Linked DNA regions of Alligator mississippiensis. The protein of the gene in region 1 purifies or fractionates together with the protein of each later gene. This does not show direct contact. Links are inferred from orthologs where the notes say so. Each region holds a gene or a part of one and is shown in the gene's direction. Other genes may lie near its edges.

Region 1 (7,391 bases):
TCGAAGTGTGTGACCTTTGGCTTGAGGTCACTCCGGAAGCCCAAGCCTTTCTGGTCCCTTTTGAGGATTGTCTGAACGGGAAATCTACGGCCAGAGCCCTCAGGCCCCAGCCCAGCCTCGCGGTCCCAACCACCTTTGACCATGAGCTGGAAGCCGACGTTGGTCTCTGGGATGTGGTAGCGGGTCGGGGGCAGTGGGTCGCGGCGGTTGAAGAGGTGGGCAGTCGAGCGCTCATGGAGTTCCACAGTGTCCTCACTGTAGTGCGCCTGGCACACGGCACAGAACTTCCTCTCCGCCGGCGGTCTCCTGAGGAAGGGACCACGGGGTAGATGTCTCAGAGCTCCGAATGAGGGGTGGGGAATGGAGATAGGTGCCTTTCCCCCCTCTCAGGGGTGCTGGCTCCAATCCAGCCCCAAGGCAAGGGGTGGGGAAGGTGGGGAATGGGGTATGTGCCTTTCACCTCCAGGGGACACCAGACCTGATCTAATTCCAGGATGGGGGTCCTGACTGGCTCACAGAGGAGGAAATGGGGCACAGAGCCCTGCCTCATTAGGGGATGCCAGGTCTGATCTAGCCCCACAGCAAGGGAATGGGCTGGCTTAGAGGTTGGGTAATGGGCTTTTTACTGATAGACAAACTTTTTTACTGATGCACCACCTGTTTACTGTCAGTGAAAAAACCTTTTGGGTTTAGCAGCCCTGTGTGACTGCAGCAATGGTTTCACACCACAGGGGTCTCTCTACCAGTGTTCCTTTTAAGTTGTGCGCGCGCACGGCCACACACAATAAAAAATCATGCTGGGCAATAACTTTTTAATGCTACGCACACAGTGGCATACCAACGGGGGGTGGGGCAGTAGGGGGCATGGCTTTGGGCGCCGGCCTGGGGTGGGACACCCAGTTCTGTAGCAAGCGGGCACCGACACTCCCCCTGCTGACACTGCCAGCTTTGCATCTGGTCGCTTGCCAGACACCCCAACCTGGCTACAGGCTGCTGTAGGAGGGGGGAGGGGTGGGCACACTGAGGTAGCCGCACACTCCCAGTCACGATTGCTCACAGATTGCCAAACCTTAGAGGGAACATTGCCCCTTACATCCTGGCACCCCTGACTGCTCCTGTCATGCTGCCCCCTCAATCCCTCCCTCAGCTCTATCCTCACCAGCCCCACTTCCCTCATCCCAGCACAAACCCGCAAAGAATCCCACCTGCAACCCAGCAGCGCTACAGAACAGGAAGGAAGCAGCAGCATGTGGCTAAGGGGAGGGGTCTACAAAATACCAAAAGGTTCACCACAGTGTGCTGTGCTCGCACTTGGACACCAGGTGGTGCTGCTGTGCTCTGTCCACCCTTGCCTCAAGCTCCACTGTCTAACCTCTTTCAGTGAGAGGCTCAGGAAGCAGCCAGTGCTTGCTTGTTTAAGGGATTGCTCAGTTTTATTCACTGACTTCATGGACAAGCATTTAGCTTGGATTTTTACTGCTAAATAGCTTGAATTTAAAGGCTTGGCATGAAAAATCCAGGCTGCTTTTAAATTCAAGTTTCTAGCCTAGATTTTTACTAAATGTCCCTAATTTAAGAACTTGAATTTAAGGACAGTCAGTAAAAATTCAGGGTAAATACATTTGTGTGTAAATTTATGGACAACTGGCAACCCTGGTCATGGGGTTCTTCCATTCCTGGTACCCCCAGCGCTAATCTACCCCCAGATAACAGGATATGGGGCCTCACCTGGGTTCCCTCGTGGGTGGCCGCGCCGTCTCACACTCCCGCAAGACCTCCACCACGTTCTCGTGGCCAGCTTCCTCAGCGAGATCCATGGCATCCCGGCCCTGTGCTTCGCACACCCCCACCCAGGCGGCCCCCCGGCTCAGGAGGTACCGCACAGCCTCTGCCTGCCCGGCGTAGGCCGCACACATCACTGCTGTCCAGTAGAAACCGTCCCGGTAATTGATGTTGCAGCCTTCCTTCTCCAGGAGCCTCCGCAGGCCCCGCAGGTTGCCCTCCTGGGCTGATCTGAGCAGCAGGTTGCCCTTGCGGTCATCCGTCTGGTCTGGTGGCGCAGGGGGAGGAGCTGGAGCTTCACGGCGCCTCCGAGGGGCCCTACGTTTCCGTGGAGGGCTCCTGCCGCCGCCGCTGCCGCTGCCCCCAGGAGCCAGGAGACTCTCATAGAAGCTGCGGGCTTCCTCGCCTGCTCCGGGGTCCTCCCGGCGCTCCCGGGCAGAGGAAACCTGTTTCCGGAGCTGCCCATCTTTCCAGAAGTCTGAATCCTCTCGGGCACGGGTGAAGGCAATGAGCTGGACGCCATGGCTCATGGCTGAGGCCAGGGACGGGGAGCAGGCAGGACGACGAGGGTGTACCACGAGACTTCACCCTATAGGAGGAGACACTTGAAGTCAGCTGGTGAAGTTGAGAGACTAGTTTTGGGGTGGGAAGCAAATGGGAGGGGGAAAGAAACAGACTCCGGGTCCTGACAGGGCCCACAGTGCCCAGGGCAGGGCGGCGAGGCGCTGTGGGCCTCCAGCAGATAAGGGGTGAGGATAAAGGGGGAGATCAGGGTGAGCAGGGCAACAGCACCGGGGCAGAGACGTGCCTGGGGGGGGGGGTGAACGCAGGCTGAGGCGGGACACGGGGCTGCGGGCCAGGGGGATGGGCGTGGGTCTGGGGCAAGGGCTGCAGGTCAGGAGTGAGGGGCACCGGCAGGGCTGGGGGGTCAGAAGCCCCGCCCCGGGGCCTGCCCCCTCCCTAGGCCTTGGCCGGACTCTGGCACCCCCCAGAATCCCCCGCGGCAGCACTCACCATAGAGACACGCGAAGCTTGCGCAGCCCGCCCACCCCACTTCCTGCTCCCGCGGGCCGCGCGCACATACGCAGCACCCGGCGAAAGTGAGGGCGGGTGGGCTGCTGCGCATGCGTAAAAACCTACGGCGGGGCTTATGCGCGCGGTGGTTGGCGAAGGATTTGGAATCTACGCATGCGCGTGCAGAAAGCGGGTGGGAGACGCAGAGCACCGGCGCACTCACTCACGTGACAAGCGAGGAGAAATCGGCGCATGCGGATCAGCAGCACCCCGTTCCCCATGGCAATTAGTACACATGCGCAGTCCTCCCCGCTTCCCTCCCCGCCTGTCTCCCAGCAACGGCCCCCTCCCGCGCGAGGCCGCCGCTTGCCCCGGGCTGCTTAGCCAATCCGGACGAGCGGCCCCCCGGCTTATTTGTATAAAGCCCAGAACCCCCTGCGGTCTGCCAGGTGTCCGCTCTCCAAGCCAGGCGTCTAGGTCCCCGTTTCAGGGGGGCGCTAAGGGCCAGTTGGAAGCAGGACCACTTCTACCCATGGGGCAGGAACGCCAGATTCAAATTCAGAACAAAAAACCATGAACTATCTGAGATCACCCTAGCCTAAAGGAAGGTTGAAACTCTATTTAAAAGCTTGGCTTAATTTGCATATGAACACAAAAAGGGAGTTTAGGAACCATGCTAATGAGCTGGGGCTCGGGCTCGGGCTCATTAACATAAGGGGGGGCCCATGGACAAGAGGGCGGCCATGGAGGCGGCCCGGGGCCTGATCCGGCGCAGCAGCAGCAGCCTGAGAGAAGGTAAAGGGCGGGGCCCGGACCCGGGGTCCCTGGTCCTCAGCTCCCCAACAGGGCCTGCCCGGAGCGTCGGGGGTGAAGCCCCGCCCTTCTGGGATGCCACAGCCCCCCCGGTGGGCCCTGAGGCGCGGTAGCCACGCCCCCTTGGGGAGGCCTCGCTCCTCCTCGCCAGGGAGCGCTGGCGAACCTCAAAATGCCACCCTCCTAGAGCAAAGCCACGCCCCCTTCCAAATAAGCCACGCCCCCAGGGGCCTCGCCTCTGGCCTGGATGCTCCTGCTCTAGGGCCTTTAAGCCACGCCTTCTTCCCCGCAGGCCACGCCCCTCGGCTGCTCTTTTTGAACCTGGTATGCCTCCATCTGCTCCCGGCTCTTTAAATCCAAGCCACGCCTCTCTCCGGAGGCCACGCCCCTTCTTTGTGGCCACGCCCCTCCGTGGCCTTGAGCTAGGCTGCCTTCGGCGGCCCCGGCCCTTTGAAACAAGACCACGCCCCCTTGCTGAGGCCACGCCCTCCACGGGCTCACCTGGACGAGACGAAAACTACAACTCCCCTGATGCTCTGGGGCCGCTCCACGCCCCTTCACGCTCTTTCCCACAATGCACCACGGGCGCAGCTTTCCCGGGCCGTGGAGAGCCTCCAGCCGCCCACGTGACGGGGATCTGCCCGGAAGTTGTTCTCCTCTCCTGGCCTTTAAACCGCCGCGCGGGGGCCGCTGGGAAGTGTAGTCGGAGCCGCGGCGCTGCGCCGCTGCGCCTCTGGCTTACCGCACTACATCTCCCGGCGCGCCGCGGGGCGGGGGGTTTACAGGGGCGCATGCGCAGTGCCCGGCCGACCACAGGGCCTGGGAGCTGAGCGCTGGGCGCTGGGCAGCCCTTGTCGGTGTAGGGGACCCGCTGAGGCCCCGCGGTGAGTGGCGGGGGAGAAACTGGGGGTCCCCACGTGACCAAGGAGTGGGGGCAGGATGGGGGAGGGGAGGGGATGGGGGCCGGGGTAGGAGGCTGGAGCGGGGGTCTGGGTGGGAGTGGAAGGGCTGGAAAGGGCAAAGGTGGGGGTGGGGCTGGAGGTGGGTGTTGGGGGAGGGGCTTGATGCGGGGGGTTTCTTTTCATGCTGGGGAGGGGCAGGGATATGTGCCCCCTCCCCCACTGGAATTTTACCCCCCTCCTCTACACACAAGACAGGTTTGAGTTTGGAGATGTGAGGGGGGGGGTACAGGGATATGGGAGGGGCTGGGAATGACTCTCAGCCTCCCCCCACCACCAGCCATAACTTCTGTCCCTGTTACACCCAGCCCTGCTCCACCCCAGAGCCAGCTGCAGTTCCTGTCCCCATTACCAAGTCCCGTGTGGTCATTCCCAGCTCTCCCGCACTGGTGTGTGGAGGGTGGGGGTGTACGTTCCATGCACTGCCCTTCTTTGCGCCTAGCCAGCCCCAGCTTCTGTCCCTGTTACACTCAGCCTGAATTCCTGGCCCCCACCCCAGAGCCAGCTGCATCTTGGGAGTTTACCTCCGCTGCTGGGTGGGGAGGGGCTGTGCTGGGAGCTGCCTGGGCTAGGGCTTGGGAGACTCCGGGTTGAGACCTGCCGTGCTCGTTACACGACTGGGAAGGGGCTGGTGGGGTTGTGACAGTTTCTTCCCCCGGCAGAGGAAGGGAAGATGAGTAGCTCAGAAGAGGTCTCCTGGATCTCCTGGTTCTGTGGCCTGCGGGGCAACGAGTTCTTCTGCGAGGTGAGTGGGGTGCGGGTGCCTGGGTCCTTTGGATGGGATGTGGGGCCTGGTAGAGTTGGAGCAGGCGGGGCTGGGAATCGAGACACCTGCGTTCTCTCCCAGTTCTTGGAAGGTTGCAGAGGTTGGGAAGTTGGAGTGGGACGTCCGGGTTCTCTGGGAAGTGAAGGGGAAGTGGGAGGTGAGAGCAGGGGGGCTGGGAGCCCCCGCACCTGGGTTCTCTGGGAGGGGATGGAGGGCTGGAAGGGTACAAGCAGCCCGGAAGCCTGGGTCCCAGCCTTGCTTTCCTCTCTCCCTCAGGTGGATGAGGACTACATCCAGGACAAGTTCAACCTGACGGGGCTGAATGAACAGGTCCCCCACTACCGCCAGGCTCTGGACATGATCCTGGATTTGGAGCCAGGTGATGACATGGAGCAGGGGCCTCTGGGAGGCGGGGTGCTTCTGGGGGTCCCCAGGCCTCCTTCAGCCCTCCTGTGCCTCTCCAACTTGGCCCGGTGTCAGGTTGCACACTTGTGCCCTCCCCCTTCACACATACAGAGGTGCCTTTTGGCGTGAAATGTAGCCTAGCTAGGCTCTCCATGAGGCTTCAACTCTGTGTGTCTCACGTGGGGCAGGGCATGGAGTGGGGGCACATATTGCACAAGGGCAGGAGCCAGGCTAGCCTCTGCCTCACGGTGGTGCGAGGGCCAGTGGCAGAGCTCTCGTGCTGCCATGTTTCATGACGCAGGCTTCCCTGCACTGAGCCTCTGCCCCTTGCCCGACGTGTAGCTTGCTTCTCCCTCTCCTTGCGCAAGCACGTGCCATGCTCTCATGAACACCAGTAGCCTGGAGCCCGGGGAGCTGCTGTGTGTGCTTTGGTGCCAGAAGGACATGGTCCTCCCACACTACCTTGCACAAGGTGGTGGGGAATTCTGGGCCTGGGGTACGATGCTCGGGCCTCGCACAAGGGAGTCATGGGACACATTAGTGAAGGAAACACCGTGGGGAAACTTAGGGGTTTTTCACCCGGGGTGGGGGCTGAGAACCTGTGCATGCGCACGTACGTGTCCTTGCACAAGGGTCTGAGGGGCACAGGCCTCACCTGGCACCTGCTGCATTAGGCCCAACCATGGGCAGCTCTGTTAGCCTGGAATCTGTTACCCTGGGTTGCCCTGTTAGCCTCACCTGCTTGGGGGCAACCCTGTTGGCAACCCTCATGGCACTTTTTTCCTTCCCGCCACACCCAGATGAAGAGCTAGAGGACAACCCCAACCAGAGTGACCTCATCGAGCAGGCGGCTGAGATGCTCTACGGCCTGATCCATGCCCGCTACATCCTCACCAACCGTGGCATCGCCCAGATGGTGAGCTGGCTCTGCCCCCACTCCCCAGCCAGCTGGCACCCCCTGGAGGGCATCAGCTACCTCCTCTCCCTGCTTCACATCTCTCAGCTCTTCTATTCTTCCCCAGCTCGAGAAGTACCAGCAGGGTGACTTTGGCTACTGCCCCCGTGTCTACTGTGAGAACCAGCCCATGCTGCCCATTGGTAGGTGCAGGGGGTAGGGGGAGCTGGGAACCTGGAAGCCTGGGTTCCTTGGAAGTGGGGGAGGGGAGAGGCTGTGGGTATTGGAGCAGATGGGAGTGGGAGCCTGGACACCTGAGTTCTGTAGAAAGGGAGTGTGGCTGGTGGGCTACAAACTGGGCTGGGAGCCTGGATGCCTGGGTTCTGTAGGACAGGAGGGGAAAGTCAGGGCTGAGAGCTTTGGGGGGGGGTGGGTTCTGTGGTTGGGGAGTCAGGATTGGGAGGTTAGAGCTGGGGGACTGGGAGCCTGGGTTCTCCAGGTGTTGGAGTGGGGTAAGGGCTGGGAACCTGGACACCTGGTTTCTCTCTGACTCCCTTTCTTCTCCCTGCCCCCTTCCAGGGCTGTCAGACATCCCTGGCGAGGCCATGGTGAAGCTCTACTGCCCCAAGTGCATGGATGTCTACACACCAAAGTCCTCACGCCACCATCACACGGATGGTGCCTACTTTGGCACTGGCTTCCCCCACATGCTCTTCATGGTGCACCCCGAGTACCGGCCCAAGCGGCCGGCTAATCA
Region 2 (7,086 bases), on another chromosome or scaffold:
TGCACCTTCCCAAATCTGAAAGTCCTCCCTTTCATCCTTGCCCGTAACTCTTTAATTTTTCGTTAAATCGAGGAGGCATTTTAAGATGCAGTTTACATATGAAGAATTGCTTGAAGAACTTTATGTTGTATTTAAAAAACAAACGTATATTGGGCGCCTTGCACAATATGGGGTGTTTGATGGACAAGAACTGGGATTCAGGTAATCTTGGAAGCAAGAAGATAAAGATGCAAAAGCAACCGTTAATTTATCGATAAATAAATGCTTCAAGAAAAAATAATTTTTGAGGGGAGTTCTAATTATCATTATAAAGTGCAAATGTAAAGAATCAAATTATACGGTCTCTCAGAAAGAAGGAAAAAATCCCCTACAATACAGTGATAAAAAGACGACACATCTACATGTGCCCCTACAGCGCCATTGTTACTGCCCCACCATTTAGTGCTTCCTTTTGGAAGTATTAAACGACGGTGCGAGAAAAGTCCATACCGTACGGTGCTGGCGGTGCACAGTTATTTTTAGCCGCTACGTTGCTGTAGCAACGCGCTATAGCAAGGGAGCATGTTGCTACAGCAACATAGCTGCAACATCACAGTTTGTGTCCGCCGACACTACATCGCCATACCGTGTTGCTATGGTGATGTAGCGTGTTGCTACGGCGACATAGCATCTTGTGTAGACACACCCAGAAAGTGTCAAATGAAGCCATCTTAAGAGCTGTTTTCTCCTAAAAGAACTCAACGGAGAATTATTAGGGAATGAAGAGCTCCCTTCAAGGCTTGATGGGTCAGGAAAGTTGGTAGAAAAAAATTGTAGTGATAAACATTTATAATTTAAAAGAATATAAAAAATGTGATAAGGTAACGAGACAGAAACAAACCCCCATGCCCATGTTGGGACCAAGTGACATTTCAGAGGTAGAACCCTTAGTAATAATCCAAGTCTGACAGCAGTCTTATCTCAGGAGCATATCTCAGGATACAAATATGGTATCCAGGGAAATATTTTGATTCTGAAAACACTAGCAGACAGTAAAGCACTGATTTCCATCTGCCACCTACTTCATGCCCACTACTGCAGTGTTTTACTTAACAGTCAACTTTTTATGATTGCAAACCATGATTCAACTCATTAAAGTCTATGGGTGGCTTTCTATTGACATTAATGGGAACAAGATCAGACCTACCAGCTTTTAATGTACAGAGTATAAAGATTATATACCTCATCTGTGTAAAAATGCTTTGAAGCGCTTTACAAATGTTGGCCAGCTAAGCATCTTTATCTTCTATTAGAGACTAGCCAGGAGCACTAGGTAACTGAGGTCTCACGGATTTGTAATGATCGTGAGGCATGACAATACTTTCAGCAATGACAGAGCTATCCCCACGTAGCCTCATAAAGACAGATAACACAAGACTGTCACTCACAGCACAGCTCTGCGATCCCTCCCTTAGAACAAGTCATTCTTACATGAGAATATATTTTTACCTATTTTAATATACGTTGTGATTAGATTTCCTGCCACTTCCAGATGCTGCCCATAACACGCACAATGGGTGTGGAAACTGGAACAGTTTTCCATCCATGAACTAGCTGTTGCATTTATGCCTTACTTAATTTAGATCTATGTAAAGTGGCGCATGCCTTACAGTAAGGAGTACCATTATGAAGTGATTCTTTAGACCTGATGTTTACTAGATGTTGGGACAAAGCAAAGACTCTTACCCCACACATGTTTCTTTAAAAACATGGAGTTTTTTCTGAAGAAAACAGGTTCCATAAAGATTTCTTCCCTAATGTTGTAAATGAAAGAATGCTAACTCCACAGGGCAAAGAACTGCTAAAATGTGATGTTTGTGACATTTTGGATTATGACTACATTACTGATGCCGAGTGTATGATGCTGCTGTTTTGTAAGGATTAAAATAATAAAGAGAAAGTTAAAAAGAATACCCACACCTTCCGTGGTTTTCCATCTAACTGTTAAATCTGGGCTTCTATGGATTAATGAAAACCTCAGGGAATTTTGTGCCAGTGGTTTTTGTGCTTCAGTGCTGCTGTTCTATACGACTGGGACTGGCTGAAAGCCTCTGGTAACCCCAGGAGTGTTTACACCATTTGCAACAGCACTTCCCTGCATCGTGTCTCCACCCCGATTGGGAAAGGCCCCATTAGGATCAACAATATAAATCAGCCTCTGCAAACCATTAAACACTGATGAGCAGTTATTCACACAATAATCAAACTAAAGCTAATTCAACTCCCCTTACAGTCTGGCCTTGACTTTTTTCCTGCAAACACCAACAATATTATTAGTCAATGCTATTTGTGATGGTGGGATTTCTGTAGTGCTGATACCTCCCTTAGAAACAGAGTCAGAAAAAAACATCAGATAGAAACCATTTTTGGTTACATCAGCTGGGTTTGGCTCAAAGTTGCTCTGGAGATGAAAGGCTCCACGCGCCTAATAACTCCCCTTAGCCATCCAGCTCTCTGAATGGCAAATATAGGAAATACAGTAAATTCATTTTTTAAAGCCAAAGGTGCTTAATAACCAGCCTAGCTGTGTGTCTGCAGTGTATAGGAACATGCAAATTACCATTTTTTTTGGTGGGGGTGTGACTGAAGGGAAGTGAAAGGAGAATTGTTGCACCTTGCACTCCCACGTGCAAGTAGGAAGATTCAAAGTAATTCTGATTTTTTGGGAAAGGGAATTGCAGGGCCATGAGCTGTCCACTGGAAAAGTGCTGTTTTCCCTCATTCTGAGGCCTGTTCTAGTTGTGGACAGCTCCACAGATCCCATGGAGCGGAGTACAGCTGGCACAAAAGGTCTCGCTCGGGCAGCTTTTATTTTAAGAGCAACTTGAGAGATTAGCATTTTGATTCTCAGCCCGACTTGGCCTCCTAGGGAGAGTCCGGTGCAACGTGCTGCTGCACGGAGGTGGTTACGTGCACAGCTGAAGTCAGGCGGTGTGGCACCTTCGGCGTGAACTGCTTCAGACAAGCACGAGCTTTTGTAGGCACGACCAACTTCGTCACGTGCAAGGACCGGGCTGGCGGACTGAAAAGATTTTAGGGGTGCACATAGGAGCAAACGGAAATGTTTCCACGTGAAACGTGCTTGGAGAAGGAATCGTTTCAGTCGTGACCGCGGGGTTGGGGGCGCCTACGTGTCACCCAGCTGCAACATCAGACGCGACGCGAGGGCGCGACGAGGGGCGCGGTGAAGCGAGGCCCCGCTCCGAGAGGCTGGAGCGGATCACAGACGGCACAGGGAAGCGGGGCTGGAAGGGACCTCCAGAGGTCACCTAGTCCAACCGCCCGCCCGAGACGGGACCAGCCGTCTCCAAACCATCCCGCTCACCCCGGCACCCGAGACGACCGCCAACCCTGACGCGACACGAGATGCGGCACCCCGGCCTGCCGCGGGGCCCGGGGCAGCCGACGCACGCTCAGGAGACCCCAGGCCGCAGAGGAGGGCAACCCCCCCACGCCCCCGGTCCGTACCAGGCTGACCAGGGGGCACAATCCTGACCCCAAACGTGGCATGGCTCCAGCGCTAAGCGGAGGGGCCGGACCCTGCGGCTCGGGGCCCAGCGGGAGCATGGGCCCAGCCTGCTCGGCGCCTCCAGCCTGGGGGTCCAAACCCCCTCACACAGGCGGGGGGCCCAGCCAGGCCCACACCCTGGGAAATCCCCAGCGCCCGCACAGGCCTCGCCGCCCCCTGGAGCCCCCGCCCGGGGAGGGGGGGGATGGGGTGCCCCCTCCTCATCGCCAGGGCAACGGGCGCCTCCTACCTGGGCCGTCGCCCCGCTGCGCGCTCATGCTGCCGCCGTCGCACGCGGGCCCGGGAGCGCGAGGCCGCCGCCGCACAAAGGAGCCGGCGCTGGGAACCCGCCGGGAGCGCCTTGTTGCGCGGCGGAGACGCCGCAGGGGAGCACCCGGAAGTGGAGCTCCCCGCCGGCCGGAAGGCTTTGGCGGTGACACCTGGGACGGCCGGAAATGGGAGAGCGGGGGTTCCGGTCCAAACCGGAAGTGGGCCTGCCGGACGGGTTTGCTGGTGCGCCACCCGGAAGTGCGCCCCGGGCGGCCGCCATGGCCCCGGCGTCGCGGTCCCGCAGCCCCGCCGCGTCCCCAGGTTCCCGGCGCCGGAGCAGCCACGGCCGCGGCTCCTCGCCCAGCCCCTCTCCGCCCCGCCACAGCCACGGCCACGGCCACGGCCGCCGCTCCCGCGAGGCTTCCAAGGCCCCCAGCCGCCGACAGGGCCGCAGCCGCAGCCGCTCCCGGCCCCCGGCCTCGGCTCACCACGGCCACCACCACGGCGGGAAGCTGTGGCCCGAGGACTACGAGAAGGAGAAGGAGGAGCTGCTGCGGCAGAGGCGAGCGCGGGCCCCGTCCCCTCCCCCGCCCGCCTTAAAAAGGGAGCCCCTGGGGAGGGAGGCTGCACACAGGAGCCCTCCAGGGACGTCACCCCATTAAAGCGAGTGTCCCGGGGGCGGGGGGACAAGGGAACGGTTTCCTTGAGCAGCGCGTGCCAGAGAGGAGCCCGCAGAGGTGACGAGCGCACGAACGTGCAGCCAGTCTCGGCTTGTCCTCCCCGGGGCCGCGCTCCTGGTCTCGCAAGGCGCAAAGCTTTCTTGGGGACCCACGCGCGTGATAAAGCCACTTCTGCGATTTGTTTTGCACTGGATTTGTTTTGCGTTGTAATAAATAGCGTGTCTGAAATGACTCATTTGGACGATTGCTCCAAATTCCTGAACGGAGCTGTTGTGGTGTGACCAAAACGCCCGGTTTATTAGGCTGCACAAAAAAACGGGCGTGTGCCTCCTTCTAGGTCTGCCTTGGTTTTCAAGACAGATCGGCCTGTTTTTGTACTGAAGACAGACCGACCCCTTTGAGGACTGAGCAAAACAAAATTCAGTTGAGTCCTGTTCTTAGATGTAGTGTTTGGCTGTGGAATTAAAAAACAACGTGAAGTGTTTCCATTGAAGAAAGGGTGTCCCCTCATCATGTCTGGCCTGGGAGATTAGAAATGCTAGCATGCAGAGATACAAACAACTCCGCTTTTGAATGTACATTTGGGAAGAATAGTACGTGGGAATTTAATGCTGATGTGGATCTTCACAGGAGACTAAATGAGAGAGAGAGAATTGGAGAACTGGGAGCACCTGAAATCTGGGGGCTTTCACCAAAGGTTCCTGACCCAGAGTAAGTAACATTGTCTTGTGGTTGCTCCCCCTTCTTTCTAGGACCCTTGTGTGTAGTAGTGTCCCCAAATAAAGCTATTAATAATTTAATTACTTCAGTATATTTATAATTTCTATTGTGTATCTTATGTCAAGCTAGAATAAAACTTTACTTACTATGTCAGTTAAAAACATTTAAGTATTTAGTTGACCTAATTCTACTCACTTTGGTTTTCTGTTTGTTTTGCTTTTTTAAGGAAGTCCCGTTACACACATCAAAAGATCACTAGACTGATATGATCAGTTCATGATATTTCATATAATCCCGAAACACCCCTTGGAGAAGACGCTCATATGTTGTCAGTCAGATTAGGATTCTTTAGTAGTGTTTTTCTGAAAGTGACTTGTATATTTTAAATTGGCTGCTTAATGGTTTAATTCATGACTGACTCTGACTCAGTCTCTGAATCTATACACATTTGGTCATGTGCTTGCTTTTGGATAATTATATGATCTTTGCTTTAGATCATAATAAGTTAAACTCTTTGTTTCTTCTCAGTTCTGATGAGCATACTCCAGTGGAAGATGAGGAGGCAAAATCTAAAAGCAGCTCTTCAGATTCCAGCTCAGAAGGTATTTAATTTTTACTGTCAAAATAGTTTACATATTAATAGAACTTCTCAGGCTAGTGCCTGATCGTGTTATTTGCAGAGAAGTTCATTGACTTCTTGTAGATTCGGAAGCAAGCATGATACCAAGATCAAGAAGGATTTATGAAGCTAGACTGTGCTCATCTGGTTTGTAACGCTCTCTTTCAGAAGAGAAAAAGAAGAAGAAGAAAAAGAAAAAGAAGAAAAAATCATCAAAAAGGAAACGCAAAAAGCATTCTGAGGACAGTGACAGCGAGTCCGACTCTGAGCTGAACTCCAGTGGTAAGAAAACAGCTTCTCTTGGTGTGTATCATCTGAAACCTTCTCCTGTATGTTTGCAGTCATGGTCAGTAATGCGCCTGCTTTTTGTTTGGTATCTTCCTGATGTCCTGAGGTTTTGTTTCAGTTGCTTAATCCGTGTTGTGAAGAATAACCTGTAGGAGATTTTGGTAATTGTGTCCATGTCTGCTTTCAACCTTAACTACTTCGTGTTCTGTTTAAGAATCAAGTGTAACATTTTCCTAGTCCCTCTTCCTCTTCTGATTTCCTTACTGCCTCTTACATGTGGAAAAGCCTGTTTTTGCACTAAGCGATCACTCAAATCTTTCCTTAATACACCTGTAATATAGAGTCTTTCAACTTATTACAGCAGTCTCCTAGCGCAGAAGGATCATAGCTCCAGCTTCAATGCATGAGGTTTGGCCATCAGGGAATGATACCCTGGCTGTAATGTAGGCCATTAATTTTCAGGTCAAGTGTGGTAGGAACTGGAGCAGACTGTGTGATACTACATGTACCTGCTTAAGCATTATTTCTAGGGGTGCCCCGATAAAGATTTTTTGGTCAATACCAATGGCTGATTATTAACTAGCCCTATTGGCCAATACTGATCCGATAGCCAATGCACAGCCCAGCAGCTTGAAGAGCAGTGTCCGGCTGGTAAGTCTGTGGGGAGGAAGGTGTCTGTGGGAAGGAAGGGATGTGGAGGGGCCAGATTGAGGCTGCCACAGTGAAGGAGGGAATGGGGCTGGAACAGGGGCAGGTGCTGTGTAGCCAGGGTAGGGCAAAGCCACAGGCCGGGGGTGCAGGGTGGGGAGAGAGGGGGTGGTTCTCACTACTGTGCACACCCCTGGGGGAGGTATGTGCTCCCCAGATTTGTGCATGGGGTGAGGGTGAGCTGCCCGTTGCAGACTTGGGGTCAGGGGATGCATCAGGCTCTTCCCGGCAGAGGGGTTGGGCTGGGGCTGCAC
Region 3 (7,472 bases), on another chromosome or scaffold:
AAGATATTGCGGGGGGGTGACATTTTTAATAAAAGGGAATAGTAAATATTATCATAGGCTAATCTAATCTGAGTCACAACACTGAATAAGCAATACATTAACTGCTTCACACACTTTTTCATGATAAAACTAAACTTGTTTTTAAGACAGTGGATCTATAATTAACCTAAGGATCAAGCACTTGCAAAAGACCACCAACACACTCACAGAACTCTGAAAAGCAACAGCACTGGCACTCCTAAACTGACAAAAGAATACAGTTGAAGGTGACCTCCATTAAACTTGTCACATTATCTAAAAATGTTCCTACTAAAAAGTAACCTATAGTCCAGTATCACATAGTGATCCCCATGAATATAGATAGCTTTAATACTAAAAAGTTAAGCACCCAAACAACATGATTTTGTGTAACAAGTACAAAAGGGTGGTGTCTGGGAGGATACTGATCTAAAGTTACACAAATCTGAAAGGACAAGAAATACTGCTAGATTTGCATTGTTTGTAATGAAACCTAATGGGACTCATCCTCAACAACATGCACATCATGAGGCAGGAATGCAGAAGAGAGAGAAAACAAGAATCATCCTAGGCAAAGAAGCATTGTGTAATGAAAACAGTTCCTGATACAATCATGTTTGTAAATGACAAGCAATGCTTCCATTTCAGAAGAATCACTTGTAAAAATGAGCGAGTAGATACCTGTGCTTATACCAGTATGTATGTGGCAGACTACACTTGGATTGCAAGCATCCTGACGCCCATCTTGCTGTAGTCATCTGATTGCAGCAGTCTTTCTGCCTAAGTGCAGGGGGGCTGGACCTGATGATCTGTAAGGTCCCTTCCAGCCCCTAACAACTATAAAACTATGAAAGAATCCAAGTAGAAACAGAGGAAGGCACATCTGAACCTTGATATTGTTCAGAGTTGCAACCAGTAGTACTGGTCAGGAATAAATTAACTTAAAGCATAATAGCACTTACGTTGTCTGGAAAACACAGGATATTTCTATATTTGAATGAAAAACATGCATGACTCAGTTTGTACACTCACTTTTCTGTTGTTAATCATTATATGTGAAAAGATTCATTTCTTTCCTGAAACACAGGATAAAGGCAGGCAGTGAGTGAGTGCGAGTCCCAGCCACATCTGGGCTGATATGAATGAACCATCAAGAACTATCAACAAGTGAATGAAGGATACCACCAAACAGCAGCAACTTTTGGTGAAGTTCCCGTCAGAACACTTGAGAACAAGCATAACTATGGCATAAACCAAATAACTCAAGAAGTGAACAGCGGTGAGTCTGAATTATGAATACTCAAGGCAAGAGGAAGGTCATGCTGACAATATGCACGTTTCCTGTAAGCTTTGCTTTTTCATACCAATTTATACAAGCAGCTTACATAAAATATACTGGTGGGATATGAAATGCTGTCTTGTTTGCATGAACACTGAACACGCTTTTCAAAACATCTGCTGGTTGTTTAGCTCCCCAGAGATCTGCCAGATATCTCCATTAAAATCGACTAACTGTAAGAAAAAGGGTTCTCAAGCCAGGGACCCAATGTCAGGCAGGGTAGCAAGGGGACAGGGTTCACCCTTGTTTAAAAAAATGCAGAATACTGAGACTGGCAGAGTCACACACACTATGGTATCAGAAGACAAAACAAAGTAAATGAAGAAGGTAAAGGACATATGCTTGACAAATGTGTTAACTGCAGGGTTGGGAAAGGATAGGCTTCTCTCAAAATGTAGAGGTTAAATCATTTGTTTATACCTTCTCTAGAAACTTACCAGGGGAGACCAGCGGGGAATGGTGCCCTGTTCCCCCGAGCACCCCCTGGAGTAACAAGGAATAATGGCCATAAGTTGTTTGAGAGTAGGTTCAGGCTGGACATTAGAAGACGCTATTTCACAGTCAGGGCAGCTAGGATCTGGAACCAACTTTCAAGGGAAGTGGTGATTGCTCCTACCTTGGGGGTCTTTAAGAGGAGGCTTGACAATTACCTAGTTGGGGTCATATGAGCCCAGGATTCTCTCCTGTCCAGAGCAAGGGGTCAGACTTGATGATCTACTTAGGTCCCTTCCGACCCTACATCTATGAATCTATGAAGTAGTAGAAAATAAAGTGGTGTAGTTAGTTAATTTAAATGTAAAGGATTTTCAGGGTGAAGTACAGGACAAGATTCTAAAAAAGAAAGTAAAAATAATCCCACTTTATACCAAGAAACATTTTAAGGGCATACTGGATTTTAGTGACAATTCTTAATATGAGGCGGGCAATTATTTTGGCTGGAGGGGCACTTAATGAGTTTTGGTGAGCTGTCGAGGGCCTCAAGAGTGGCCCTAACCCATCACAAACACCCCATCCCCTGGTCAACATCTTGGGACTGGAAGTCCTACCCCAACCTCTGAACTTTGCCACCGTAAGTCCCTCCCCTTGCTCCTGGAAGTACTCCTTTTGGGAAGGGGGCTTGGAACCGAAAAAAAAAAATCAAAACGAATTATACACTAAAAATCAAACATCCGTAATAATATATTTTAATTTTATTAAAAAAAAATTGTCTTGATTTGTGTGCGTTTGTGCCGTATACATAGAAGTAATTGTATAATAGCTCAAAATGAAGTCTTACTCTTGTATATTGTGGGGGGGGATTGTGGGGGGGGTGGAGCGGTGTGGCAGGGTATGGGTAGGTAGGCATGGGGTTTGTGGGGAGCTGTGGGGGTGTGTGTATTTAGGTGTTGGGTGGGTATGGGGGGCCTGTGGGAATGTATGGATGTGTGGGTGGGTATAGAGTTTGTGGGGGGCTGTGGGGACTGTGCGTGTAGCAGTGAGTGGAACTTCCCCCAGAGGCAGGTGGGTGTGTGGTGGGTACCATATCTGTGGGGTGTGCGATTGTGTGGGGGAGGGTGTGGTTGTAGGATTCGCAGGGGAGGGTTTGAAGGTATGTAGGGTGTGTATGGGAGCCCCCTCTCTGAAAATGCACATTTCCTGTGCATCAACCTCACGTTTAAGTGATGCTTTAATATGCAGTAAAATAGCCTACCACGCACGCATTAGAGCGCATGTGTAGACATGCCCTGCATAAGCAAGGATTTGGGCCACCAGCATTTCAAGTTATTCCCAGGCTTAATACAGAACACAGTCCTCTACAAAGCCCTCTCAAAAACTACTAAAGGTTGGATCTCTGCTCTGATTCCACTTTTCGTCAACTTTTACAAGCCTAAAACAGGACTTCTTGGGAAAAGTCACGCGTCCCTCATACTGATTCTAGATTTATTGGTCAGAGCTGTGAATATTCCCCCCTCCCCCATGGTCCTATCTGACATTGCTGTTTCAGCCAAAGCCGCAGTGCAGGTGTTGTTACATTGGGGATGAAGAGTCTTATGCTGGCACAGATGACTATTTAGAGGGCAGAAAATAACTTTTCAAATCAGAGCCCTTGTAAGCACAGGGATACTGAACTACCTTCAAAAGGTAGGCAAGATCTCATGCACGTGGCGCAGAGCTGTGATTCATAACCTTTTCTGAACTCATTTGTAAACATCAATGGCCAGTCCTGACCCAGTGTCCCCGCTGCCCCCCTCCCCCTAGTGTGTGGGGCAAGGGGGGGTATATGGGGTGAGGGGCCTGGGGGGCCCCAAGCCGCCCCATGGGGTGGCGTGGGTGGGGGGGGGCTGGGGCCCACCTGAGAAGCGCTCCAAACCCCGCAACTTCCCGTCGAACTAGAACTATCACTACCACCACCACCTCCCCGCTGCTCCGCTCACCTCGGAGGCGGCTGTGGTAGCGCTCCAGAGACTCTTCCAGCTCGGGCTCTCCCCGGGGCTCCCGCATGAGGCCGAGGTCCGGCTCCCGCCGCCGCCCCCTGCAACCACTGCCGTCTCCAAGGCGAGGGGCAGCCCTGCTCTCCTGCCCTTCCCGGCCCGCGCGGGCGCTCGGCAGCTGTAGTCCGGCCGCCTTCCGGGCCCCGGGGCGCCCCGCAGCCAGGCCCTCCCAGCAGAACTACAACTCCCGGCAGGCCGCCCAAGAGCCGCTTGGCCGCCCGTTGCTAACCGACCAGCACGAGGCCCCGCCCCTCACCTCTCCCTGACGCGCGAAGAGAGTCCCCCTGAGACTACGCTTCCCAGCATCCACCGCGAGCCGCCCCTCCCGCTACAAAGAGAGACTCTTCAGCGCCGCTTCCCCTTTGTTGGATGCGCGACCCGATCTGCGCGTGCTCACTCCCCTCCCCCTTCTCCTCAGGGTCTAGATTTGACGCATGCTCAGTCGTGACCTAGAGAAGCGGCGGGCAGATTCCCCCTGCTCCTCCGCTGCCTGCCTGTGGCGCATGCACAACGCACGCGCCCCTCAGCCCGTCATTGCCTGGGAGCGTGCGCCTGCGCACTGAGGCTTCCTCGGGGCGCGCTCGGCGGGGGCCGCGCTTGCGTACTGAGCTCCTCCCCTCCCGAGCCTCCGCATTGTGTGCGCGCGATCGGGTGGCGCTTGCGCAGTGGTGCGCCGTGCTCCGTGCCGTTACCCGCTATGTGCGGGGAATAACGGTGCGGCGGTTACTGGCGTCAGAGCGCGGCGAACAGCTTCAGTGCCGGTCCGGCGGGTGGTGGGGCAGTAAGTGGCGGCGGCGGCGGCGGCTGCACTCGGGCGCCCCTTCCCCACGCGGCGGTTCTCCCACGGGGGGTGAGTGCGGTGCCCCGCCCAGCCCCGTAACCGTTAACGGGAGGGGGAGGGGGACAACGAGGCCGGGGGGGCATTGTGGACGGGCGGCGTCCTCTCACCGGCAGCTGGTTCATTTTCTACTCCTCATCCCCCCCCTTCCACCTTATTCGGCAGCTCCGTCCTCTTTGAATGAATGGAGCTGCGCCCCCTTCCCCCACCTTGTCCATTTGGAAGGGGAGGGCAGAGACCCCCCCCCCTCCACCCCTTCTCCCAGGGGGCTTCCCCCACCCTGGGTCGCGGCCGGGCTGGAGGGAAGGGGCGGGGAGGTGCTGGGAGTGGCCGCGAAGGGGTAACGAGCGGTGCAAAAGAATAATAATTTTAAAAATATCAAAAATGCCGTGATGGCGGTTTTCCAACCCGAAGCAAGAGGAAGCAGAGTCTGGGCTGAGAGGCAGATGACAGGTCTGAGGATGAGCTGTGGTCTGTGATCTCATCCACACGCAGCCCCAGGCTGGTGGCTCTGCAGGGGGGCAGGGAAGAGGAGGGATTCTGGTCGCAGTTGTGTCCCTGGTTCCAAAATTGCATCCCATTTGGTATCCGGGGTGTTTGTTAGGCAGCCACCGTTCTTTGGGTAGATGTGATATCTTTTATTGGATTGGAAAAAATTGCTCTTTGGCCGCACCCCCCCTGCTTTGTCAGTCTGTTTTCTTGGCATGGGGAGGGGCTGCTAAGACCACCCCTCCCTCCTGAGAGGAAATTCATCGTGTTTCTTATTTTTCACCGGATTTCAGTGTGTGTTATGTTAAGATGGTACATGTTGCTGCTTGAAATGAAAACAAGCTCTTCTTTAGTTGGGGACTGTTCTGGTGTGAGCAGGGGGTTGGACCTTCTGCGGTCCCTTCCCACCTGAATTTTCTGTGATCCTCTGAAAATGCTGAATGCAGGAAGAACGTCCCACAGTTCCAGTCTCACGTGGAGGGAAGCTGGCTTTCGACAAAAGAGAGCTCGTGGCAGTGAGCTAGTTGTCAGCTTTCGAGATGTCATTTTGCGTGCATATTCTGGACATGCGAGTCAACAGCAATGCCACCTTTTCCTTACAGATTTAAGGTGTATTTACTGTGTAGTTGAGTAGAGGATGCAGAATGGCTGAACTCTCTTATGACCCTTAGTGGAAGGAGTGTTGATGGAGAGGATCCAGTGTCATGTAAACACCTTCTGTGAAGGCAGAGGTATTCATAAAATATTTAACTGAGTTGAGAGAATAAAACCTGGTCTTGTATGCTGTTTGATGCAGGTGGGCACCTGTATTTCCATGGAGATCCACTCAGAGCAATAGGACTATGTGAATGGATTTACCCCTCTTAAATGGCATGCAGGATCAGGACCCAAAGTCCAAGAGAAACCTGTAAGGGAAAACACGTGCTTACATATACTGTGGTTTCCATGTTAGCTTCCCAGAGTGTTCGGTTTTGCCTAAATGCTGAATAATATATCTGGCCAAAAAAGGCACTGTAAATGTGAAATCTGTTTGATCTTTAAAAAAAAAAAAAAAAAAGGTGTATACTTGTGATTTTTCCCAATCAATATTTGAGGGTTTGTTTGTTTTTAAAGGAAACAATTACTGTACGTATGTTTTTCTTTCAGCTTTTGCTCTGTTTAAGGCTTACACAAACAAGGGAAAGTCACTGGTGGGAAAACACTGAAGTTGGGGAAGTGTAAGATTTTGTTTTTAGGGCATGAAATAAGCAATCTACAAAAGGGAGTTTTTTCCCCTCATCTTTCAGTAGCCTAGAAGTTGCTTGTAATAATATCAGTTACTTTAAGTGCAGATAGACCTTTATAAATTGTTTGCATCCTTTAAATGTGAAGCTAGACTCTGAAAATTGTCTTTTTAAAAACTTTATTGTGGAATTCCATCTTTGTCTGATTTTGATTTCAAATTTGCTGAATTTATAGCTGTTAAAAAGACTGCTTATGCATAGCAGTTTAGGACAGTTCATAATTTTGTTGATAAAAGAATCGCACGTTAAAAGAGTGAACTGGAAACATTTGAATTCTTTACATACAGGTGACAAATATCGAAACTTCCCTTAGCACCTGAATAAAGCCAAGTCCACCTGTAGCTACAGAATCCAATCTTGTATTCAAATGTTTGCCTATGTGCATGCAAATCTAACTTGCTTAATATAAACTGATGCTGAGCTGTTTTCCTCAGTTTGGAAATAGTGCATTCTAGTGTCACAGCTGTTCCTCTTAGCTTTGGCAAAAAACATGAAATTAAAGTGGATCTGATTAGTTTCTGGTTGTTGTTCAGAACCATTTAAGAAACTGTGAAACTAATCAGATTCATATCCATCTCTGGTGTTTGTGAAATCTTTTAACGGGTAAAAGAGAGGCACTGAAGCTGTTCCTGAAGCAGAACACCAGGGTGTAGAAATTCTCATCTCTGCTTCAGCAGCTAAGGTTGGTAAGATGGAAAGAGTAGCAGAGAATTCCCTCTTGCAGAAGCTCTTGAAGGTAGTAGTGCAGATCTTCATACACTAGAATAAGTAGGAGATTATTAGAAGTATGGAGAAGTAAGGGTTTCATGTCCTTTCTTGGGAAATGAAGTTTCTAATTTGTTAATTGGAAGTCAGTGATACCAAAGAAGTTGTACGCAATTACTGTACCAAGTAATTAGTTAAGAATACTGCTTGTTAGGAATTTCACTGTACTCCCTTTTCCTAGTAGCAAGGGGTTTGTTGTGGTGGTAGAGGTTGCCCCTGGATCTTGCAGTCAGATATTCTTTGCCTTTTTTAGCATGAGCTTTTGGCTA
Region 4 (6,959 bases), on another chromosome or scaffold:
TATAAAGTTGCCAAACAAACAGTCAAGAAATGGATGTTTTATTTCCTCATTTAGAGAAACTGGAAAATGACCCTGTAGTACATCAGGAGGTCATTTATCTTCAGAAGAAAACTGATTTTTTTATTTCCCTTTCTCAGCCACCACAGAACCGATCTTCATCACTCGCATTGAGTTGGTTTATGTTCTTTCTGAATGCTAGCTAGTATCTTAGACCCCTTTCCTAGATGCTGGGCTGCTTTAATAGTGACATCTTCACTCACAGGTATTTCTGAGTTCTGTTATTCATGGGCAGCCTGTGTGTGCGTGTGTGGCAGACCAGCAAGGGGACAGGCAGCGCAGTGACAGATAGGAGAGGGAGAAATTAAAGCAGCAGTTCAGGCTGGGACCATGGGGCAGAGTAGCTGATCAGGCAGGGGAAGGGAATCAGAGTGGCACTCAAGATACAGGGCTAATCTGTGGCATACATGCCAAAAAGGCTGGCCCCTAGTGCTGTAAACAGTCCATCTCTGAACTGGCAAGATAGTTCTGGGGCACTGCTGTTCTGTTGTCTAGCTCTGAGATCACAACATGCTTGATCAGGAGTAGGTTAAGGCTCATCCTCTCAGCACAGCTCCCCATAGCCCTCAACCATTTAGGCAGCCAACAACTGAATAGGCTATTCTTTTTGAAGTAAACAAATATCCCCTGTGGAATGCCATGGAACAAAAGCAGGAAGCCTGTATTTTTGTCTCTCCTAGGCCTCTTCAGTCTATTAATTAAAAAGCTTTGGGTCCAGCATCTTTAACTGCATTAAATCTACTTTTTTAAGAGGAAAAAATGCTGGTGGGAGCAGCTAGGGGAATGCATAGAACATTTCTTCAAAGATAAGTCTCTCTTCTTATGAGGAAACCAAATTATACAGCAAGGTTTGTATGTAGATGATTTTAATTAGTATTACATGTATTAAAATAAATGTTGTGAATAACCCTTCAATGCTTACAACTTTTAGGAAGAATTAAAAAAAACAACAAATTTTAACACTGAAATCTCTTTAGACTAAGGCTACCTGTTCTGTTTGTACCCTACATTCTATTACTCTTTAACATTTAAATAGGAACAGATTCCTAGAAGAGTGATAGCAATTTGTATCCAGTGGTAAGAGATTTGCCATCCACCTTCCCATCCTTAAAAAACCTGCTGCCCCTAATATTCTGTCTGGGAAACTGGCATTGTGATCAGCAACACACGCTTCCCTTTGTCGAATGTGGCTGTAGCTGCTTCTTCATTGATTAACTCTGGCAGATCCAGCTGTAATCTGTATTTCTCAGGGACCTCGATGACTAGATCATCCTAAAAGAGGCAAATAAAAATACTCAGTAATGCAGGCACTTAATAGTCTCAATTAGAAGTGAAGGGGGATCCTGTAGATGTGCAGCAAGGCTGCTTTGATATCCTGTAAATCCACTTCATCGGAGCAAATTCGATTAATCGAGTCTGCTGGAGCACGGAAATTAACGTGATGCAGCAGCCTCCAGCATCATGCGCATCAGCGTCCCTGCAATGAAAAATGGCAACGGGGGCGCTTTGAACTAAAGCTGGTGGTTTGATGAGCTTTAGTTCAAACCGCCCTGCTGCATTTTTCAGTGCAGGGATGCTGATACACGTGACAGTTGGGCATTTTTAATTATTGCGGCTCGCTAATTAAAGCACCCCCTCCACCCCCTTCCCGAAGCACATCTGTAATGCCCAAAGGTTTTCTGGGAACGTTTAGAATCAACTGAGAGAAGACACGAGGTTATCATCATCCCCAAGGGATGACAAGGTCAAACAGTCACGAACTTCTCCAAGACCATTTCAGGCTGGACATAAGGAAGAACTTCTTTACAGTCCGAGCCCCCAAGGCCTGGAACAGGCTGCCGCCAGAGGTGGTGCAAGCACCTACTCGGGACTCCTTTAAGAGTCAATTGGATGTCTATCTTGCTGGGATCCTTTGACCCCAGCTGACTTCCTGCCCTGGGGCAGGGAGCTGGACTCTGATCTTCTGAGGTCCCTTGCAGCCCTGATGTCTGTGAAGTCATTTCTGTTCCACTTGCCTTTGACATGCTCAGGTCACATTCTGAAACAGAGCTAACTTTCGGCAGTTCAACCTTCAGTTCAATCTTTATGGGTTTCTTGTCAGCATCTGGCACGACGGTCAATTCATAGACTGGTGCACTGAGTTCTTCCGGCACCTCTGTACTGGCAATCTCCTCTATCAGAGGCACTTGAGACGGCGTGACTTCCTCCTCCAGCAGGAGCATAGCATCCTGGCTCTCCTCCGCTTTTGCCCTATGTATCAGCTGGTCAAGCGTCAGCCCTTTCCCATCTGAAAAATGTTTTACTGAAGTTATTCTTTCATTTCTAAGAGGCTCGTGTAGGCAGTAACTAATCTAACCCCAAGCGACAGAACTGTGCCATTGCTAAATGTAAGTTTTGCAGTCAGGAACTCAGCAGCTTGGGCTGGTAACCTAACTACTTGTATGTAAGTGGTTTGGCATTTAAAGCTTCCACCAGGATCGAGCTCGAAGCTCAGCCAAGACTGGCTTCAACCACCTGTTGATTTCTGAGAGTGGGAACTGGCTTTTATAAACTGATCTGGCAGGGGCTGCACTGAAGGGGGGAGCTGAGCCTCTCTCCCATCTCGTGCCACCACCTACTCACCGCTCCTCGCCTGCTCCTGGGGACACGGTCCTGGCGTCTGCCCTCTTCTCAGACTCTCCCTCATCCTTTGCAGGCTCCCTTTCAGTTTGAACGGTGCAATGTGGTAGGCGTAGGACAGAGTCAGGCTGTAACGCTCCTCGATGAATTTAAGCGTCAGCCGGATCAGCTGGTCCAGTTCTGCTCCGTTCTCTTCTCCCCTCTGAAGAACGGCGGGGTTGTACGCGACATCCACCACGCTGTAACGCTCTAGGAAACAGCGAGTGACACCAGCATTGAGCAGTTTCTCAGCAGGAGCTCGTTTCATTGACCCTCGCATCACCCCGTCCTGTTTTTTCCCCAAGCTGTGCCATCCCCTCCCCCCCCAAATTAAAATAATTAGTTGTATCTTTCACTCTTCGGTCCCACACGGTGGGTGCTATTCGTTAACTGCGTGGGCCTTTACACCCATGTCCCCCAGAGCAGATACAGACAGACAGGAGCGTGTTTCAGAAAGCCGACTTGTAGAAAATACCGACGCAGCCAAGCGTTTGTCACTCGGGGATTAAAGAAGGTCATTAACGCGGGATGGGGGGAGGTTTCAGCCGGGGGTACGCGTGCCCCTGGGAGCCGCCGATCGCAGCAGGGACCCCCTGGCCGCCCGCCGGGGGCACGCGGCTCCAAGAAGGCTGAGCGCCCCCAACCTGCCGCGCGCGGGAGCTGCAACGTGCGCGCAAGCAGACGGTCCCCAAAGGGCCGCTACGATGCGGTGACAGGAGCGGTGCCGTGCCACGGTGTCCCCGGACACGTCCCGCAGCCGCTTGCGCCCGGGGTCTCGAGGCGCCGCGCCGGGTCCTTGGGGCTGCGTCTGGTGCCGCTGCCAGGAGAGGCGAGGCGAGGAGATCCCGACGGGCCGCGCCCGGCACCCACCTGCCTCCCCCGACGCCTCCTGCAGGCGGCCGGCGCAGACGGGCACGGGGTGCCCGGGCGAGCGGGGGGCGGGCACTCGCTTCCACCCGCACACGTTCACGAATAACGGCTTCTCGCTCGAGCCCTGCGAGGAGGCGTCGGGGCCCGGCGGGTGCAGCCCCCGGCGGCGGGTGCGCAGGCAGAGGCGCGGCTCCGGGGCGCTGTCCCGCGGGCCCCGCACGAGGCGGCGGTAGCGCTCGGGGCTTCGCTCCGCCAGCTCGTCCAGCGCCGCCCACAGCTCCGCCACCAGGCCCTGCGCCGCCATGGCGGCCCCGCGTGCCCATGGCAACCGCCGCCGGAAGCGGAAGGGGCCGGCCCGCTTCCGGTGCCACCCGGATTCCGGGTTCGCCCGCCAGGCCGCCACTTCCGGGGGAGGTGTTTCGCGGGGGCGCACTTCCGGGCGGGGCAGCGCGCGGGGCCTCGCCGCCCCCGCAGGGTGAGGAGTGTGGGGGAGGGGGACACGGGGGTGTGGGGGGTGAAGGGGGAGGGGTGAAGTGGGGGGCAGGGGGTGAAGGGGAGGGGTGAAGTGGGGGTCAGGGGTTGACTGGGGGAGGGGCGAAGGGGAGAAGGGTGGGCAGGGCGAAGGGGCACGGGGCCGAGGCGCTGAGCAGAGCCGTGTCCGTGCCCCGCAGGATGTCCCGGGTGCCGCTGGGCAAGGTGCTGCTGAGGAACGTGATCCGCCACACGGACGCGCACAACAAGGTACAGCCGAGCGCCCACCCGGGAGCTGCCCCCAGCTGCCGCCGCGGCGTTGGTGGCCTTCCCCCCAGGCCCAAACGTCTCCCCTGCTGGTCCCGAAGCCCCGTCTTGGTGCCGGGGTCTTTCCGGGCCGCGACGCCGTTGGCACGTGGCTGCCGCCGAGCCGTGTCGAAGCGGGTTGTCTGCGCTGGGGTCTTTGGGGCCTGCGGCAGAGCGTAGTTTGGATGTCAGCTCAACCGCCGCAGCGCTCTTGTCGCCTCCGCTCGTTCCTGCTGCTTCGCCGCGCGTCCCCGTGCATCGCTGTAGCTGCCATGTCTGCGTTGGACCCCAGACGGCTTCTAGCGCGGGGGCTCACGCGGGCTGTTGTTGAGGGCAGGGGGTGACTTTCACCTCGTGTGTCCCATGTGAGAGGGAAGCTTCCCCGCGGCAGCTCTGCTCTTTGGCTCGCAAGTTTCCTTTAGCTCAGGTACAAGACACGTTTGTATTCGGTTTTGCTTTCAGATTGGTAAGTCCCTGCTACACGTTGCACATATTGTGCTATATGCACGTTGCATATATTGTGCTATTCATTGGTTAACCACGATAGACTTAGACCAGCAAAGTAATTCCCACCTGATAACAATGACTCTTCAGCTATGAAAAGAGCCAAGCAGCTATAAAGTTAGTGCTTGAAAATGTGTAACAACTCGAGAGCTGGTTTCTGTCCAGCTTTCATTTGAATGTGGGGCAGGGCCCTTCGTACTCCTTTATTTGAGCTTTAAGCCAGGCAAAGAATGCTTGTCCGTTCATTTGTCTTTTTATGTTCGTGAGGTGATGCAACATGAACCAAAGTTATGTCAAAGCTTTAGGCAGCTGGACGCTGAATTTCCAGGCTTATCGCAGCTGCTGTCTTTGGATCCAGCAACATGATGCTTGAGAGAAGTTGTGTGCCTCAGTGTGTTGTATTGAACATGGCGAGAGCCGATGTACGTAGGGAACCTGCAGAAATCGAAATGCAGAGCGAGGCCTGTATGTGAACAGTGCGGCGCGACTGTACAAAACAACTAGTTTTCTGTGCAGTTCACCGTGGTTGTAATGTTGCACCTTTTAGTTAATACAGTATGACTAAAAAGCCTTATTTGCATCAGTGTAGCAGGGTGGTTCTGCTTGAAATTCATCCAACTTTGGAATTGCCTCTTTGAAGAGGTGATACTTTGTGCTTTGTATTTTCAATGTCACATGTATGAGGTACTTCTATTTGTCTCCTTTTTCTTTTTTTTCCAGATCCAGGAAGAATCAGAAATGTGGAAAATTAGAGAGTGGGAGAAACAGACTCAGGAGACTTACGAGAGGAAGCAAAGGAGAATCTTGTCTGACACATCCAGGTAGGCGGATAAAATTACTCACTTTGTAACCAGACCACAGCAGCCTCTGTAGTGCAGTAGTGATGAATATTTACAAAACACTTAAGTGACCTGTATGTAAATGCAACAGATGTATCTTCTGACCACTTCTGTGGGCCCTACAGGGTACAGACACACGCTGAAAGACACCAAATTCCCGTTGAAGTTTCAGATTGCGTGTGTGTGATGATCCAGGCATGCAGCTCTACAGCTGTGTAACTTTAAATTGGCTGGGGCCCCTGAAATAACAAGATTATAATATGGCTTGGAAGTAGTTAGAAAGTTGATGGAATAATTGAAGGAAAAATTGTGCTGTCCTAAGCTGATTGACCTCCTTGGTGCTTGTGCACTGCTATTGCAGTGTGTGCTACAGTGGTTCAGACCCAAGATCTTGCCCAGTGTAAATCTGCCATAGTTCTTGACCACTCTTAATTTTGGGTTTTAAAATAGCAGCAAACTGTGGAGAGTCAGTGCAACAGATTCATTGTGAGCCATCATGGGCATGCCTGAAAGTCTCATAAGCTAAAGTAAGATCAGCCTCATGTGATTGATCTGTAGAGACCTCCAAGGAGTTTGCAAAGCTGCAGGTAGTGGTTTTCTGACTCAGTTCTGCTTTTCTTTTTCAGTCTGGCCTGATCCCCATGCCGGCTTGGCACTTGGCAGGCTCCCTGAGATCATTAGAAGCCTTGGCACCATTGTTTCTTAGATTCAAGCTAACCAACTTCCAACTCCAATAGTTACTTTCTGCCTCCTGACCTCTCCTGATTTCTGCCGGATGCCCTATTCATCACACCCATTGTCCTGCATGCTGTTAAGCAGCTGTAGGAATCTGTTCCAGAGGTGGTTGCGCATGAGCTGTGAATGAAGTAATCCTATCCCGTTTCTTCAGATTGTTTGGAAGTGCATTGAGAAATTATGGTGGAAGGCGGCTTTGATAGCGCAGGTGGTTAGTTAATCACTGGGCTGGTCCGTGGAACCCGTCTATGTCTATTCTTGGGAGATGTAACTTATACTTTGCATGGGTTGATAGTCAGAGACATTTAGATCTGTGCTTCTTCCTCTGTGCCCTTTGCGTCCTGAATTGATCCACTGCACAGAAAGTCTCTTCCTCAGAATTGCCTGCTGAAGACTACTTGTTTTCTTTCGGCAGCAGTCGGATGCGCAGTGATGGGTTCGATGAAGAAAGCCAAAGAGCTGACTGGAAGACAAAGAACTTTGAACACATTCCTGATGTGATCGAAGAGGATTTCCTTA

Evidence for each region.
Region 2: the proteins of CSNK2B (region 1) and NKAP purify together in Homo sapiens (co-immunoprecipitation; 3 studies listed by BioGRID and IntAct, counting the BioPlex papers as one, with this or other methods). This does not show direct contact. The link is inferred for Alligator mississippiensis from reciprocal best matches to the Homo sapiens genes CSNK2B and NKAP.
Region 3: the proteins of CSNK2B (region 1) and CEP170 purify together in Homo sapiens (affinity purification with mass spectrometry; 3 studies listed by BioGRID and IntAct, with this or other methods). This does not show direct contact. The link is inferred for Alligator mississippiensis from reciprocal best matches to the Homo sapiens genes CSNK2B and CEP170.
Region 4: the proteins of CSNK2B (region 1) and NKAPD1 purify together in Homo sapiens (affinity purification with mass spectrometry; 3 studies listed by BioGRID and IntAct, counting the BioPlex papers as one, with this or other methods). This does not show direct contact. The link is inferred for Alligator mississippiensis from reciprocal best matches to the Homo sapiens genes CSNK2B and NKAPD1.

Annotation. Positions count from the first base shown.
Region 1 is NC_081834.1:58,329,442-58,336,832, reverse strand, and holds the start of CSNK2B (casein kinase II subunit beta), read left to right. Parts: upstream 1-4,385; 5' UTR 4,386-4,493; intron 4,494-5,230; 5' UTR 5,231-5,241; coding exon 5,242-5,313; intron 5,314-5,610; coding exon 5,611-5,713; intron 5,714-6,539; coding exon 6,540-6,655; intron 6,656-6,761; coding exon 6,762-6,837; intron 6,838-7,213; coding exon 7,214-7,391. Other genes in the region: GPANK1 (G patch domain and ankyrin repeat-containing protein 1), read right to left, coding at 1-306, 1,729-2,312. UniProt on the Homo sapiens protein: Regulatory subunit of casein kinase II/CK2.
Region 2 is NC_081831.1:72,523,318-72,530,403, forward strand, and holds the start of NKAP (NF-kappa-B-activating protein), read left to right. Parts: upstream 1-4,067; 5' UTR 4,068-4,095; coding exon 4,096-4,379; intron 4,380-5,127; coding exon 5,128-5,208; intron 5,209-5,745; coding exon 5,746-5,819; intron 5,820-6,004; coding exon 6,005-6,118; intron 6,119-7,086. UniProt on the Homo sapiens protein: Acts as a transcriptional repressor. Plays a role as a transcriptional corepressor of the Notch-mediated signaling required for T-cell development. Also involved in the TNF and IL-1 induced NF-kappa-B activation.
Region 3 is NC_081824.1:159,685,421-159,692,892, reverse strand, and holds the start of CEP170 (centrosomal protein of 170 kDa), read left to right. Parts: upstream 1-4,472; 5' UTR 4,473-4,609; exon of another isoform or gene 4,610-4,678; intron 4,679-5,900; exon of another isoform or gene 5,901-6,062; intron 6,063-7,472. Other genes in the region: SDCCAG8 (serologically defined colon cancer antigen 8), read right to left, coding at 3,772-3,838.
Region 4 is NC_081839.1:31,775,325-31,782,283, forward strand, and holds the start of NKAPD1 (uncharacterized protein NKAPD1), read left to right. Parts: upstream 1-3,956; 5' UTR 3,957-4,060; intron 4,061-4,256; 5' UTR 4,257-4,257; coding exon 4,258-4,326; intron 4,327-4,334; exon of another isoform or gene 4,335-4,789; intron 4,790-5,586; coding exon 5,587-5,687; intron 5,688-6,855; coding exon 6,856-6,959. Other genes in the region: PIH1D2 (PIH1 domain-containing protein 2), read right to left, coding at 1,183-1,329, 2,073-2,344, 2,680-2,925, 3,586-3,889.